2 linked regions of the Nothobranchius furzeri genome follow. The protein of the gene in region 1 interacts with the protein of each later gene in a biochemical or structural test. Links are inferred from orthologs where the notes say so. Each region holds a gene or a part of one and is shown on either strand. Other genes may lie near its edges.

Region 1 (7,523 bases):
TCGCCATGTTTATGATAAACTCGGCATTATGGTGTGCGAGTCAGTGTGACGTACGCTACTCAGCCCTGATTGGCCCAGTTAGAATTCCCAGGGGGTGGGGTTATTTGAATAGGAGAGTTTAGACCCTTTCTCTGTGCAGAATTAAACAGAGGAGTCTCGCAGGCCAGGCTACCTTTCATCTTCTCCTCAAACTGAATCAGTTCCCGTAGTGGGGAGCATAAAGGCGTCACCAGGGCTCTGTACACACTCCTCAGTAAATCACAGCTGGTGTGTGTGATCTTACCGTTGCGTGTTAACAAGAGTAGGTCCTGACTGTGGCCGTGTCCAGCCTCTGTATAGACTGACCTCCTGAGTTTGCATGTTGGCAGAAATCACATGCAGAGACGTGCCATTAGTCACAGCATCAAACAGAACCAGCAGAGCAGCAAAGCAGAGTTAAACGGGGCAGAAACGTCCATCAGGGTAGTTTTACTCCGGGAAAAAACAAGCAGACGGAGCGTTTTAAAGACATGCACCAAGAGGCGGTGATGCTTCCGCTTACCGTCCATCGGGCTCCTCTTTGGCTGCATTGAGGGAGACGCCGCGCTGCTACTCGTCACTCGGAAGTTGGCAGGAAGGGTGTCTGACACACCCAGCGACACCCCTCTCATGTCTTTGGGTCTGAACTTCTTCCTCCACGATGGAGCACGGCGGAAGTTCTTATCGTCATCCTGGAAGATAGAGGGCTGATCATTAGACCAGCAGGAAGTTAGCTTCACACACAGGCTTTAGTTCTTCTCACCTCTTCCACCTTCCTGTCTGTGCCGATGGCCAGTAGACCGGTGTACTCCCGCTCCAGAGTTGCTCGGGCCTGAAAGGACACATACACTTAGATCTACTTGTGTCAAACAGATAAAGGATCCAGATCTATGAGCTGCAGCTGCAGGGATGAGGAAACACCCGGAGCCGATGTAGGGAGACGGGATGGAAACTCTGACAGGAACTCTCGGGTATTAAAATTATCCATTAAAACAGGTTTGAATAAGTCATAAAAATCACTTATTAGAAAAGTTACATAGGATGTAACCTCGCCCCCACTATATCAGCTGCTACAGGTAAACCGTAAACGTGTGTATACCTGCGTGTTCTGAGTGGGGATCTGCAGGAGCAGAGCCAGCGTGTTGTGATCGAAGCTTTCGTCCAGGGACAGCAACGCCCCGTGAACGCCGCTCTCATAAAGGTTGCTGCTGAACTCTTTGAGGCCGATGCTCTGAATCCAGTTGATCACGCGCTCGTTGGACCACACCAACACATCTGAAATGTCAGCAGATGTTTTATTTCTAAGGAGAACAAAGCAAATGTGTTTGTAGAACCAACGTGAGCTCCCTCTAGTGATCTTCACCCAAAGAGCCTCAGAGGAGGTTCCTCGTGGAGCTCTTGGACAGGAACCTTCTACTGTTTTAGACCCTCAGATGGAAACCAGCGACTCACACAGGCTTTAAAGAGATCCTACAGCTGCTTTTTGTGTTTAAGATGAAAATAATTGAAGGTGTTTTTTTTTTTTTTGTTGTTTTTTTTTTTTACAAATGGTTTATTTACCATGACCTGGATGACTGAGAACCTTCAACAGCATGTAAATCTATGGTTGGTGCAACCATTGGTAACTGTTTCATGGTCTAAAGATGCATTTTTTATTCAATTTAAACAAAGCTGGTAGGATAGAGAGAACAACGGTGACAAAATAAATAAAGCATTAAATAACTGATTAAATGTGTTATTAATAAAATCTGAATTAAATCCATAATCTGTCTCTAATAAAGATATTTATTGTATTTATAAAAAAATCATACATTTTTATTGTACAATTTTATTTTTACATGCTTTGTGATGCTGTACTCCGACAAACTGCTCATTAGGCAGTGGGCGGGGCTTACACTGATTGATTGCTTTGGTCTGAATGAAGTCTTCAAACATGGCAGCTTCCTTTCTGCAATCTGAGCAACTTTTTCACGTTCTTCAGTAAAGGAAACCTGATCTCACACTCACACACACACACACCTCTGAGTTCCAGCTGGGACTCCTCTCTCCTGCTTTCCAGCTCCTTCCGGTCGTAGTTCAGCCTCCTCAGACACATGACACCACACTGGAAACTGTTCCTGTTATTTATAAATATGCACACCTGTTACAGGTTTATGCTTTCAGATGTTGTGTTGTAAGACGGCAGACAGAGACTCCACCCTCCTCACCTGTGGAAGCTGTCCACCATCTTCAGCTGACCTCTTAGGTCCTTCTTGGTCAGGTGATCCAGCATCCGGGCGTCCACCAGGGACTCCATGAAGTAGGACCGGTACTGGGGCAAACCCAGACTGGGCAGCCACTCGTTACCGATCCACTCATGGTTCATGTCTCCATACGCCAGCGTCTGCAGCCAGAGAGGAGCTTTGGTCAGACATGAAGGTATGGATCAAATAAATAACTGAAACGTTGAAATTACTGTTACTGATGGTTTAGTGTTTTTAAACAGAACTAAAGATGTTCTGATTATTGTCTCCATGGTGACACTCAGCTGTTCCTACACTGAACTGCATCAAACACAAAAAGGATGACTAGTTCAGTTGTAATCAGGAAATGTTTCATATTTAGTCTGTTTATGGAGATTTTATATATTTAAATAGAATAGAATAGACTTTATTGATCCCACACTGGGGAAATTCACCCGTTACAGCAGCACCAACCATTTTAAAATAAGCCAAAAGAGGCTGATTAGATGTGATGGTGAACATGTGTCAGATACGTGTAAACAAGGTGAGTTAAGTTGAACAGGTGGGGGGTGGAGGGGTGGGGGTCGTGTGCAAACCTGGGCCCAGCTGCCCTCCTCATCCTCCTGGTGTTAGCGTGAGCATGGTGAGAAGAACAGACAGGTGAGCGGTTAGTGGAGGCGGCGGCGGCGCTGCTGCTTAGAGCCGATTCACCAGGAAATAATAAAATCTAAACTAAATCTGAGTAAAATAAAATTAAGGAGATAAAATCAGGAGCCAAATTCTAATTACACAAAGAGTTTGTTTGATTTTTAACTTAAAACTGATCAAAGCTCCTTTCAGACATGAGGCTTTTCAACATTTACACAGGGATGACCACAGGTTATGTTGTCTGAATTAAAGCATTGCCTGTCTGAAAAGAGCTTTTGTGGAAGGATCTGATCCCCCAGAGATGATGTTTATAAACTAAAACGAACAAAAAACAAGAAAATTCAGCTATCAGAGCGGTGGGCAGCTAACTAACAAGCACATGTCTACACTAAATACCCCCAATGAAAGCAGAAACACACACACATGCACAAATACACATAAGCGTGCACATACACATGCACATACAGACACATGAGGTCTGACAGAAACACAAAGAAAAGATAGCTGAAAGAGCGACGCCTCGTTTAAGCCTGCACCACGCAAGTCTGTTGATCTGCTGATTGATTAGTAATGTCTGGCTGTTGTGTGGTTAGCTTAAATCGAGGCGCCCGCTCTAACGAGTGAAGAGAGAGAGAGCCCAGCTGATCTGGGCCGGACTGACCGTCGGAGGCGTTGCTGCCAAACTCTCCATCTCTTCGTGTGTGACCCAAACGTTTCCTGTGGTCTGATCATTTCACCCCCGCCCCCATCCCAAGTGTGCAAAAAAGAAAGAGGGATGATGGACAGGAAAGAAGCAGGACGGAGGGAAAATCAAGAAGAATTTGTTTGTTAGAAAAAGAATAGAAATTAATTAGTTTGACTCAATCATTAGTTTGTTAAAATGTTAATAAACAAAAAAGTCTCATGCTTGTGTGTGTGTGTGTGTGTGTGTGTGTGTGTGTGTGTGTGTGTGTGTGTGTGTGTGTGTGATCATAATGGTACCGTTCGGGATGTGGGCGGGGCTGAGGGGCTGGTGAGGGACATGATTTCCTGGATGGCCAGGCGGAGTTTCAGACGATGTAATGGGTTGCTGATTCCGATTTCTCGTTGGATCTCCGTGTCGGACAGCGCCGACATGATGGCTCCGCTCTTCACGTTGGCTCGACACGCGGCCACGTACCAGGCCGGCATGCCGACCCACAGCTGGACCGGAGAGGACAGAAGAACCGGATGGGTCAGACGAGATTATTGTTAACATTTGTGCTTCCAGCTGCTTAGGATCGGATCTACGTGGTGACTTCTGGATCTGAAGGTGTCAAAAAATCCACGTCCTGAAACTGGTTTTATGTTCTTCCTCATCGGAAGCTGCTCTGCAGGATGTTCCCTTCACTTCATACAAATCAAGAGGCACAATCCAACGAGTTTGAATTAATGATTAAACTTAATTAAACTTTTACGATAAATAGGCAGATTTGTGGACGTTCAGAGCTGTAAAATTAAAGGTGTGGAACACTGAAACCCCATTTTAAATGGTTATTTCTGATTATTATCTGCCACTGTTTTTAAGCAGGCTGAACATGAAAATAGTCTCCTACATCTATCTCCTGCATTAGCTTCTGATAGAAAATAGACGGCGAAACTCTAGGATTAGATAATCCTGACAGATCTGTGTCACACTGTCACTTAACATTCATCTTGACTCACGACGGGGAAGGCTGTTGCTGGTTTAGCATCCAGGAAACAGCAGAGAACGTCTCAGCTAGTAGAAGCAAACTGTTAGCATTAGCAACTCCACCACACAGCAGAGCTCCTCCAGCTTTGTGTTATTTGTGGAGATAAAACATGAACGTTGCAAAGCAAAGAGTCAGTGGTAGAGTTGCACTGCTGTTAGCCAATCAGAGGAGAGATATCTACATTTCAGGAAACAGGACTCCAAACCCTGCCATCTGAAGCTCAACTCTGAAGTGGCTCACTTTTAGTTCCAGAAAAACTGGTGCACCGGAGCTTTGTTTCCCCAGAGTACGACTTACATGGCACTACACATGTGTTGATTAAATGAATGAGCCACACCTTTAATACGATCGTGAAATCTAAAACTCAGGTTTAGTTTTTTATTCGGAGTCAAAGTCACTCCATAAAATAAAAAATGAGTTCCACACATTTCTAATCTGAAATTCTAAATCAGAAAGCGAAAACAAAAAATCTTTTACTTCACGCCAGTTTCTACTGCCTTTTCATAAGTTTATATTTACAAACACAAACGAGTCCTACACATGGGGACGACCTCAGTTGGACACTTTAAACCGGTTTAAGAGCCTTGCAATACTGGTTCGTACCTCCAACCAGGCCACGACGGTCGGGCCGTCCCACTGAGCGAACGGGACGCCCTGCCTTCGAGCTTCTTCCAGTAACTCGTGTCTGTCACACAAATAAAATATTAAACCCAGAAACAAACACATACAGCATCATTCTGTCAATCATTCATCCTTTATGGTTTCAAAAGACAATCAAATAGACTTTTTATTTAGTCAAGTTTAATTTGATACCAAAATGTTTTTTTTTTTTCATTCTTCAGATTTTCCATCTCAGGCTGAATAAAGAGAAATGAGACCTAATTTCAATATTTAATAAACTGCAGCCAATCGGCCATCACATTTTTAATACTTAAATATCATTTTTGGGCTTTTATTTTGAAAGGCAACTTCATTTAATCTAATCTACAAAAAAATCTGAAACTCAATGAAAATCTTCCTGTTTGAATCAGAAGACAGCTCACGGTCTCCTTTGGGTCGGGATCTATTTGGGTTTTATAAACAAAAACCCAAATCACTTTTGATTGCCAGCTGAAGGTAGGAAGAACCAGTGACACTTGGATTACTTCAAAAATCTACAATTCTCCCACATTGCACTCCGTCACATTCACCTTTTGAACCCAAACCCAGAAACATCCAGGTCACATGCACGTAAGAAACCAGGAACAGGAAATAAAACCCAGAAAAGCTCAAACAAACAGGAAAGCTCTGACAGAAACATCTTGGAGGTCTTTGTTTAAACACCTTCAGAAGCTCTGAGCCTCCACAGGCAGAAAACTGGATTTTATATCAGGTTGAAGGAACAGAACCGGTCAGAACCAGCAGTTTAATAACAACATTCCTCTAAATCTGCAGGGACACGACATGCACAGGAGGAAGAACAAGGGTCGGATCACATCCACTTCATGCACGTTCTGAGCTGCTGCTCCACATCAATCCTGAGCCCAGACACATCTCATGGGTGACCACTAGGTGGGGCTGTTGGCTCCTATCAACCACAAAATCGACTAAACAAGAACTTTATTTAATTCCAACATCAGAACACATGAAATCCTCCTTAGTGGTATGGAACGTCATGCTCCGGGAGGAGAGCACTGGTTAAACAGCAGAACACACACATTCCTGTTAGTTCGGCTCCAGTGTGGGAAGCAGGAAAAGAGCAGCACGGAAAAGCTGTCAGGCATTCAGAGGGACGGCTGTTTGGGTCCTGAAGAGTTACTGGTGAGATAAACGTGAAGCCAGGAGAGGAAAGAAGATCAGGCAAGACTAGGCAACGTGAACCAACTTACCCAGTCTTTGGACTACACGTGGAATGAGAAGAGGATGGTAAAAAAAAAAAAAAAAAAAAAAGAAGAAGAAAAAGAAAAAAAGTTGGCAGAAAAAAAGAAAAAATGAACAGATGATAATTTATGGAAGCAAAACAACATTTCTGGTGCTGGAATTACAGCTGCATCAAACCTCAAACAAAAGGGAAAACATGGAATTAGGTGGTGGTTGTGATGGGAATGACGGGTGTGGAGTGAGAGGAAGATCAGCTGATAGAGGTGAGTCAGGTGGGGGTGGGGGGGTGAACAAACAGCAGCAACACAGGAGGACTCCTACATTATTAACAGGAATTCTCTCAGCTTTCAGCCTTCGTCTCAATATACAAACGCGCTACAGGAAGTGAAAGGAGAACAAACTCACTTCTTCTGCAGCTTCCGGTTCTTCTCTGAAGGACCTCCGAGTGTTCCCATTCCCAGTCCATCCTTTGGGGAGCTTTCTGCCTCTGGCGTGCCAGCTGGCAACAAAAAACGTGTTTAGGATTTTACTAAAACCGACGGATGGTCGGTTCAGACTCGATGCAGCCAGAGGGAAACGGATATGTCTCTCCCTATGAAGAAACTAATTCATAAAGTATTTCAAAGATCAGAGTTGTGTTTCTAACAGATGCCAGCTGTGTCTTCTGACGTTATTAGTTATTATGGGATGGATTGCTCCATAAGCTCACAAAAATGCAGGAAGACCACAGAGCACTGGACATTAAAAATAATATTTATAGTAAAAATGGACTGGTGTAATTTTACGTTAGTGAATTTCTTAATCACACTTAACAGAGACGTTCCGGTGAACGAGCGACGCATTTTAGCTGCATGATGGAACGTGTTCCGGTGAGCCGAGGGGAGGAGGATCGCTGCAGGATTACACATTCATGATTACGGCAGATTAACGTCCCAACAACATACATAATTTAAGGAAACTTTTCAGTGAGTTGTCAACAAGGTTTCATCAGAATAGACAGGAAGTGAGCTGGCGTTAGCCTCACTTTTATCTAACGTCCTCACAGAAACACGTCAGCAGCAGC
Region 2 (7,523 bases), on another chromosome or scaffold:
ATTTGTGATTAAAGCTATTCGAAACATATGTTGATCAATAATAATCAAGTGAATGATCTGTGGAATAAAGATGTCATGATTTATGTGTTTAATGAAAACAGGACTACTGCACAGACAGACTGACCCTCATCTCCATAGAAACGCATGACACATTGTTCCAACCAATCAAAGCTTTCGGCTGCCGCAAGAGAATCTGGCTTGTTGACTTAAAGTGTCCAATCCGCTTTACTAAAACTTATCAACAATTCAGAGATATAAAACAAGGCAACGCCATTTTAAGCTCAGTTCCATTTTGACTTCAGTTCTATTCACCGTCATCCCAAAGAGAAGCACAGCCTGGCCAGATGTGTTTTCTTCTTTAAACTAAGAACTGTGAAGTTGGAGATTTTCGTCGTTTAACAACCAGACGACATCCTTTCAAAATAAGAGCACCTGCTGACGCTGCCGATTGTTACCTGGGTCGACCCTTCAGACGGGCTTTGAAACGCTGCGATCGCTGTTTCGACCAGCTCCAGCGCACATCCGAGGACTTCAGACCTGGCATTTCCTGATCTACCCGGGAGGCCCCCACTGGGTACGTACACGGCAAAATAGCAGCTCATGTCATCACTTTATAAGCCTCGTGATATCTAGTCATAACAATCAGACTACCAGATTCAAGGACGTCAGCCTAAGGAGTCTGAACCAACCACACACACACACACACACACACACACACACACACACACACACACACACACACACACACACACACACATCGAACATCACATTCATTTCCAAACAACACAGAGTTAGTCCTGGTAGATTGTTAAGAATTTATAATTAAGAAATTAAAGATTCTTAAACGATCCCAACTCTCTCTCTTTTCTTGTCTCAAAGTCAATACAGAGTGTTTAATTAAAATCCCTGATGATAAAAACAGCCCATCTTCTGATTATAAAACTAGATCTAATTACAGTGTTATAAATACACAATATTAGATAGTTACCTCACTCTTTATTGTTACACTATTCATAATTTTTATGGACAGGATTTCTAGGCACAGCCAAGGTGTTAAGAAAATCCGTGTTGGTGGCCTAAGGATCAGGTCTCTGCTTTTTGCGGATGATGTGGTCCCGTTGTCTTCATCAGAACATGTAGTGTCTGCAGTGATGTGGACATTGTAACAGCATGTAGTGGTGCAGAGCGAGCTGAGTCAGAAGGCAATCCTCTTGGTTTACTGGTTGATAAGTGCTCCAACCCTCATCTATGGTCACAAGCTTAGGGTAGTGACCAAAAGAATTAGATCACGGATACAAGCGGCCAATACGAGTTATCTCCGAAGGGTGTCTGGGCTCTCCCTTAGAGATAGGGTGAGAAGCTCGGCCATTTGAGAGGGGCTCGGAATAGGCCCGCTGCTCCTCCACATTGAGAGGAGCCAGTTGAGGTGGCTCAGACATCTGGTTAGAATATCTCCTGGACACATCACTGATGAAGTTTTCCAGGCATGTCCAACCAGGAGGAGACCCTAGGGAAGACCTAGGACATGCTGGAGGGACCATGTCTCTCGGCTGGCCAGGGGACACCTTGGGATTCCCCTGGAGGAGCTGGTTCAATTGGCTGGGGAGAGGGAAATCTCGGCCTCTCTACTTAGGTTACTGCCCCATGGCTCGACCCCGGATATGTGGACAAAGGATGGATGGATGGTCTATAAAGCCTGACGCATTAAAGTGATGAGATGTACTTCTCCTGGTGGTAGGGGCAGCACATACCAAAATCATTTCCAGCAAGTGGTATTTTCTTGTCCAGGTAAAACCTTACCAACGGATGTCCATTAGGGTCAAAAATCCCTGGGAGCGCATTTTTTGACAGAGTTCTTAATCAAATAATTTAAACTCCGGCAAAATGACAAGCACATCAGACTCCCTTTCATCCCATGCAACGAGCAAAGAGGCAAATGTGTAAAACAAAAATGTTTATAAACGGCTTGTAACAAATCAGTGAATGCGTTTTGTCCTCATTGGCATTGACGTAGATGTAAACATTGAGTCTAATGTGGCGTCGCCCATAGACTGAGACAAGGTCCTGTGTTTTTTAAACCTGATATTTTTGTTTACATGTTATGAAGCCGCTAGGGCTGGGCGATATATAGATATTTTTAAAATATGGATATAATTTTTAAACAAGAAACAAGATGACTTTATATCTTCATATCGATATAACTGGCCAAACTGCAATGCTAGCGATTAGCCACTATGCTAGCGACATGTTGCTCCGTCTCTAAGCGGTTATTACATATATTCTCACAAGTTTGCTCAATCTGAGAGCCTCTGGGTAAATGTGCTGCTCTAAACTTTGCATTTGGCGTTCTGGTTTTTAATTATTGAGGGACGTTCAATGCCAACGGAGTTCTGTTTTTCCATCCTGCTCGTGCGGAGACGAGCTAAACCCCTCCCTCCCCTGTGTAATCGGGGAAAATCTACAGATAGCCGGAGTGGCCAAATTACCTCAAATGTATTGTAAGGATTTCAATAGTAAACTATAGGGTTAACGTTTTATTTTGAAGGGGAGCTCAACGGGTGAGAAATATTGTTCCGGTTCCATTTTTTTCCGGTTTGCTATGCTAGTAAATACTCAGTATGGGTTAGGGTTAGGGTTATAATACTGATAAGAGAGCAATCAGAGACTCTGAGTCATTACAGTATAATCGCTGATATGAGCCAATACTGTTGGACTCCAGCCATGTTTGCCCTGATAACTAATAACTCCACGGTGCATGACCCATGAGATCTTCAGTAGATACAATTGCATCATCATAAACTTAGCTTAACATGATAGATTTTTTTTTCCTCTGGACAAGAAATAAACGATATGGCCACCTCTAGATGACATTTAAACAATTTTACAATAATTATAAATTTATAATTAAAAAGTGCCTGTGGGACATTTGATACACCTCTAGCTCTCAATTGTGTATGTGTGTGTGTGTGTGTGTGTTAGCAGACAGCTGTACCAGACAATAGGCACTAAGGTTAAAGTTTGACAAGAATCAATACATTTTTATGCATTTAATCTACTGATTTATGTTTATAATTTCTCAAGACAGCTTGAAGTGAGTTAACTTGTAAATATTTTACAGGAGGAAAAATATCCAGATATATATCGTATATTGGAATTCAGCTAAAAGATAGAGATATAAGTTTTGTTCCGTATCGCCCAGCCCTAGAAGCCGCAAACATTTTCCAACACCTGGGCATCATTTAATTAATGGTAAAAACTATACATTGTCACTTAATACATGGACAAGTCAGTATTATTAGGAACATAAACTCACCGCTTGGAGCTTCTTCTTGGCAGCTTTGGCCAATTCAGAGAGGTCCAAACTGAAAGAACAAAGCCAGTTGTAAATTTTTTTTTATAGATGAGCAGAAGACAGACAATAGAGAGGAAATGGGTAGGAAACCAGGAGATAGGGCCAACAATGCAATTGGGGGGATGGGGTGATTTATCTCCTGCCCCCTGCAATTACTCAGACACCTGCTGCTGTAAACTCACTTTCTTCTGCTAAAATCCTGTTTCATAAACAAACTCATCTGAAATTAAATTCTTAATATATTCAGAAGAAATTCTTGTTTTTGCCTTGTCCTGGAAGTCATTGTGGATAAATGAGGATGAAAAGGGTTTTCCCGGTGGACTTCTAAGCACACCACCTTGTTCTCAGGAGGACCTTTAAACTCTGCCTCTTACACAAGACGCTGTTTATTTTTAACAAATCAGCTTCACAAGAAACAAAACGGGGAGCCATACAAAAGGTTGGGGAGTGTGAGAGAAAGGAAGAGAAAAGCAGGAGAGAGAAACAAGGAAGGTAAAGATACCTTTGTGTCGGGCACTTAGGACGAGCTCTGGCTCCATCAAGCGCAGCAAAAATGAGAGAACAGGAAACCAGTGAGGAGAGAAAGAAACAGACAGGAAGAAGGCAGAGAAGCCACGTGAAAACAACTTTTATAATGATCAAGGAGAACCAGAACTAAACAAGTGAAGTTAAACCAGCTCCCACACAGAAACTGAAGGTTCAGGACCTCCACACAAGATGTTTGAACAGCAAGTCCACACATGGAATTTCTTTGGGACCCCTGGTAGTCAGAAAACCAAATTACAGGTTTTCCAAATCATCCAACCAGACGAAAGAACACTAATGTGGAGCCTTTATTAATCAGAGAACTACAAAAATCATTTAAATTAACCCAAACAAATTAAAACCATACCTGTCAGCCATTTGAGGAATGATATAGTGGCCATTTTTGTGATCTAAAGAAAGAAAACAAGTCAGTGTAAAAAGCTACAACTCCATGCTACTGACTGTGGGACGAGAGGTTACCTGGGCGTCGGCCACACAGGTAGAAAGCTAGCCTATCTGTCAGCTCATACTGACACTCCACCAAGCGCTCTGCTAGCTCTACATGGCCCGCCTGCCTGAAAAACAAACAGATCTGTGCGTTTTTCAAATCAGATATCATGATGAAATCAGTCAGCTGCATTTATATTTGTACCTAGCAGAGTCCATAGGTGTGTGCCCGTTGATATCAGGTGCTCCAGGATCTGCGCCGTAGATGACAAGCAGTTCAGCCTGAAGGATCTGGCCCGCCTTGGCTGCTACATGAAGCGGGGTTGTGCCCTTCTCCTGCATCAGCAAAACACACACTTAAGAACTTACAACACCGTAAACCATGAACACAACTCAAATGGTACCACTGGAAGCTTAGATTTCTGACCGGGTGGAAGAAGTTGGCCTGAGCACCGAGGGACAGCAGCCGGAGACATGTCTCTAAACTTCCTGTCCGCACACTCGAATGGAGTTGCTAGCAGAGGAAAAGATGAAACAGAGAAGATGGTGTGAAGCCTGTGTGTATATGTGTGTGTTATTTTTCTTCCAGCTGGGAATAAAGACGCTCAGCAACATTTTGCTATTAGAGTTCAGATGAGCATGCTTAGAGTGCCAATGCTCAACTTTTATCTGAGGATGTTTAATAAAGGTCCCTTTAGTGCGTTGTCATGAGAGGACACACTAAAAAGCTCTGGGGTTTATTCTGCTGTCGACAGTGAACCCACTACTTGCAGCCATAAACAGCCTCTTAGTGCAAGACAAAGTCTGACTTTAGCTTGTAAAAAGACTAAAACTCAGAAATGTTGGCATATTGGAAGAGGCCTCCCTGGGCTGCCACCTTAACATGGTGGAGGGGTTTGAGTGTTCCAATGATCCTAGGAGCTAAGTTGTCTGAAGCTTTATGCCTCTGGTAGGGTCACCCATGGCAAACAGGTCCTCAGTGAGAGATCAGACAAAGAGCAGCCCAAAGACCTCTTATGATGAATAATATAAATGAAAATCCTGTTCCCTCGCCCGGAAGCGGGTCACCGGGGTCCCCATCTGGAGCCAGGCCTGGAGGTGGGACACGTTGGCGAGCGCCTGGTGACCGAGCTTTCACCCATGGAGCTCGGCTGGGCACAGCCCAAAGAGGAAACGTGGGTCCCCGTTCCCATGGGCTCACCACTCATTGGAGGGGCCAAAGGGGTCGGGTGCAGTGTGTGATGGTCAAGGGCGGGGATCTTGGCAGTCTCATCCTCAGCTACAGAAGCTGGCTCTTGGCACGTGGAATGTCACCTCTCTGGTGGGGAAGGAACCTGAGTACGTGTGTGAGGTTGACAGATTCCAACTAGATATATGCGGAATGACCTCAACGCATGGATCTGGCTCTGGAACCAGTTTCCTTGAGAGGGATTGGACTTTCTACCACTCTGGAGTTGCTCCCACTGAGAGGCGCCGAGCAGGGGTGGGCATACTAGTTGCCCCCATCTTGGTGCCTGTATGTTGGGGTTTACCCCAGTGAATGAGAGGATAGCCTCCCTCCGCCTACAGTACATGCGGGGGGACGGGTTCTGACTGTGGTCTGTGCTTATACACCAAACTACAGTTCAGACTACCCAGCCTTTTTGGAGACATTGGAGGGAGTGCTGGAGGGAGCTCCTTCTAATGACTCCCTCGTTCTGCTGGGGACTTTAACGCTCACGTGGGCAACGACAGTGAGACCTGGAGAGGTGTGGTTGGGACACACACACACACACACACACACACACACACACACACACACATATATATATATATATATATATATATATATATATATATACATACAAGTGAACAATAAAACCAAGCTCTAACATACGCTTATACGACCATAATATAGTGCTTTTAACCTTATTGTATATGACAGTTTTTTTTGGATTATTATTTTATGCATGTTTACATATATTTTCTGTATCTATACAAGGCATTTAGCTGTCTGACATGCAGGCCATGGGGTTTGGAATAATTACATACTAGAATAATTATTATTGGATTAACTTGATATGCAGTCTACATACAGTACAATAGAAAATAAAAACAGGCCATGTTTAATAGTAATTAACAATAAGACCCATTTCGTCTGCTAGTGCTCTGATATAACTCTCCTAACTTTATAGAAGTGTAATTTAAAATCAAGCTTCTGAAGTGATGCGAGGAGGAAAAGTATCACGTGTGATTGTGCTTTCTATTTTCTACGCATACTATGTGTTGAACCAAAAATTGTGAGGTGACACAAAACAACTTAAGGATGATTTGCAAATAATGACCATTAATGTCTGATGTAGTTTATATTAAATTCATTGTTGTCACTGACCAGCTAGTGGTGCTGTATCTTGCTAGCTCATTAAGCTAACCAGACGACGTGTTCAGTAGTAATCGCTTACCTGCCCTCGCCGCCAACAAAGAGCTACACAGTAGAGCCTGCGGCGGCGCCTTGAGTTTTTAATACGTCTCTCTGCAGCAATAGACCATTGTCCTGAGGCTAGCACAATGACTTGCTTAGCAGCTAGCTAGTGAGCTAGCGTCTGGTTAAAACCAACTTAAAAAGTGGCTTAACTTACAGATTAACCAAGAGTGCCTAAGAAAAGATAAAATATATTATCACTATTCACTCTGGATCCTGAGTAGACACTACAGACAGCAAAAATAATGTGTTTGGGGCTCAAAATGTATGTTGTTGACCAAGGTGAAAAAAAAAAAGAAGTCTTGGACGCTACATCACTTCGGGTCACTGAACTGTCACTCAAGAGAAGGGATGCTCATTACGTCGATCGCGATCTACCAGTCGATCGCAAAGGTAGCGTAGGTAGATCTCATGAAAAATTATGTCAGCCTATCAGCCATCCTGTAAAACTTGATTGATATATATGGCAGCCAGTCAGTTTTTACATCACCGCTTCAAAAAGAATCCAATATAGTCTATAAAAGTGATCTAAACCAGCTGCGCCGTCAAAGAGGATTGGGATCTATTTTTACCGCTAGCCATGTCAATAACCGTAAATAACATAGGGCTAGACAGGAAATCACACACACTTTCAGTACTCCAAAATAAAAGTCTATTTCAAAGATCCGACTTCGTATTTACATAGATTACGTCTACACGTGTGACCTCATGAATTATTTAATCCAAGCATGGTTTGAG

What was found.
Region 2: the proteins of ppfia1 (region 1) and git1 form a complex in vitro, tested with the Homo sapiens proteins (2 studies listed by BioGRID). The link is inferred for Nothobranchius furzeri from reciprocal best matches to the Homo sapiens genes PPFIA1 and GIT1.

Annotation. Positions count from the first base shown.
Region 1 is NC_091749.1:65,248,770-65,256,292, forward strand, and holds part of ppfia1 (liprin-alpha-1), read right to left. Parts: intron 6,960-7,523; coding exon 6,866-6,959; intron 5,286-6,865; coding exon 5,204-5,285; intron 4,071-5,203; coding exon 3,870-4,070; intron 3,613-3,869; coding exon 3,550-3,612; intron 2,864-3,549; coding exon 2,837-2,863; intron 2,402-2,836; coding exon 2,226-2,401; intron 2,136-2,225; coding exon 2,038-2,135; intron 1,294-2,037; coding exon 1,118-1,293; intron 851-1,117; coding exon 782-850; intron 711-781; coding exon 542-710; intron 349-541; coding exon of another isoform or gene 293-348; exon of another isoform or gene 284-292; intron 1-283. UniProt on the Homo sapiens protein: May regulate the disassembly of focal adhesions. May localize receptor-like tyrosine phosphatases type 2A at specific sites on the plasma membrane, possibly regulating their interaction with the extracellular environment and their association with substrates.
Region 2 is NC_091753.1:16,382,215-16,389,737, forward strand, and holds part of git1 (ARF GTPase-activating protein GIT1), read right to left. Parts: intron 4,839-7,523; coding exon 4,752-4,838; intron 4,661-4,751; coding exon 4,530-4,660; intron 4,453-4,529; coding exon 4,358-4,452; intron 4,288-4,357; coding exon 4,245-4,287; intron 3,882-4,244; coding exon 3,855-3,881; intron 3,363-3,854; coding exon 3,314-3,362; intron 1-3,313. UniProt on the Homo sapiens protein: GTPase-activating protein for ADP ribosylation factor family members, including ARF1.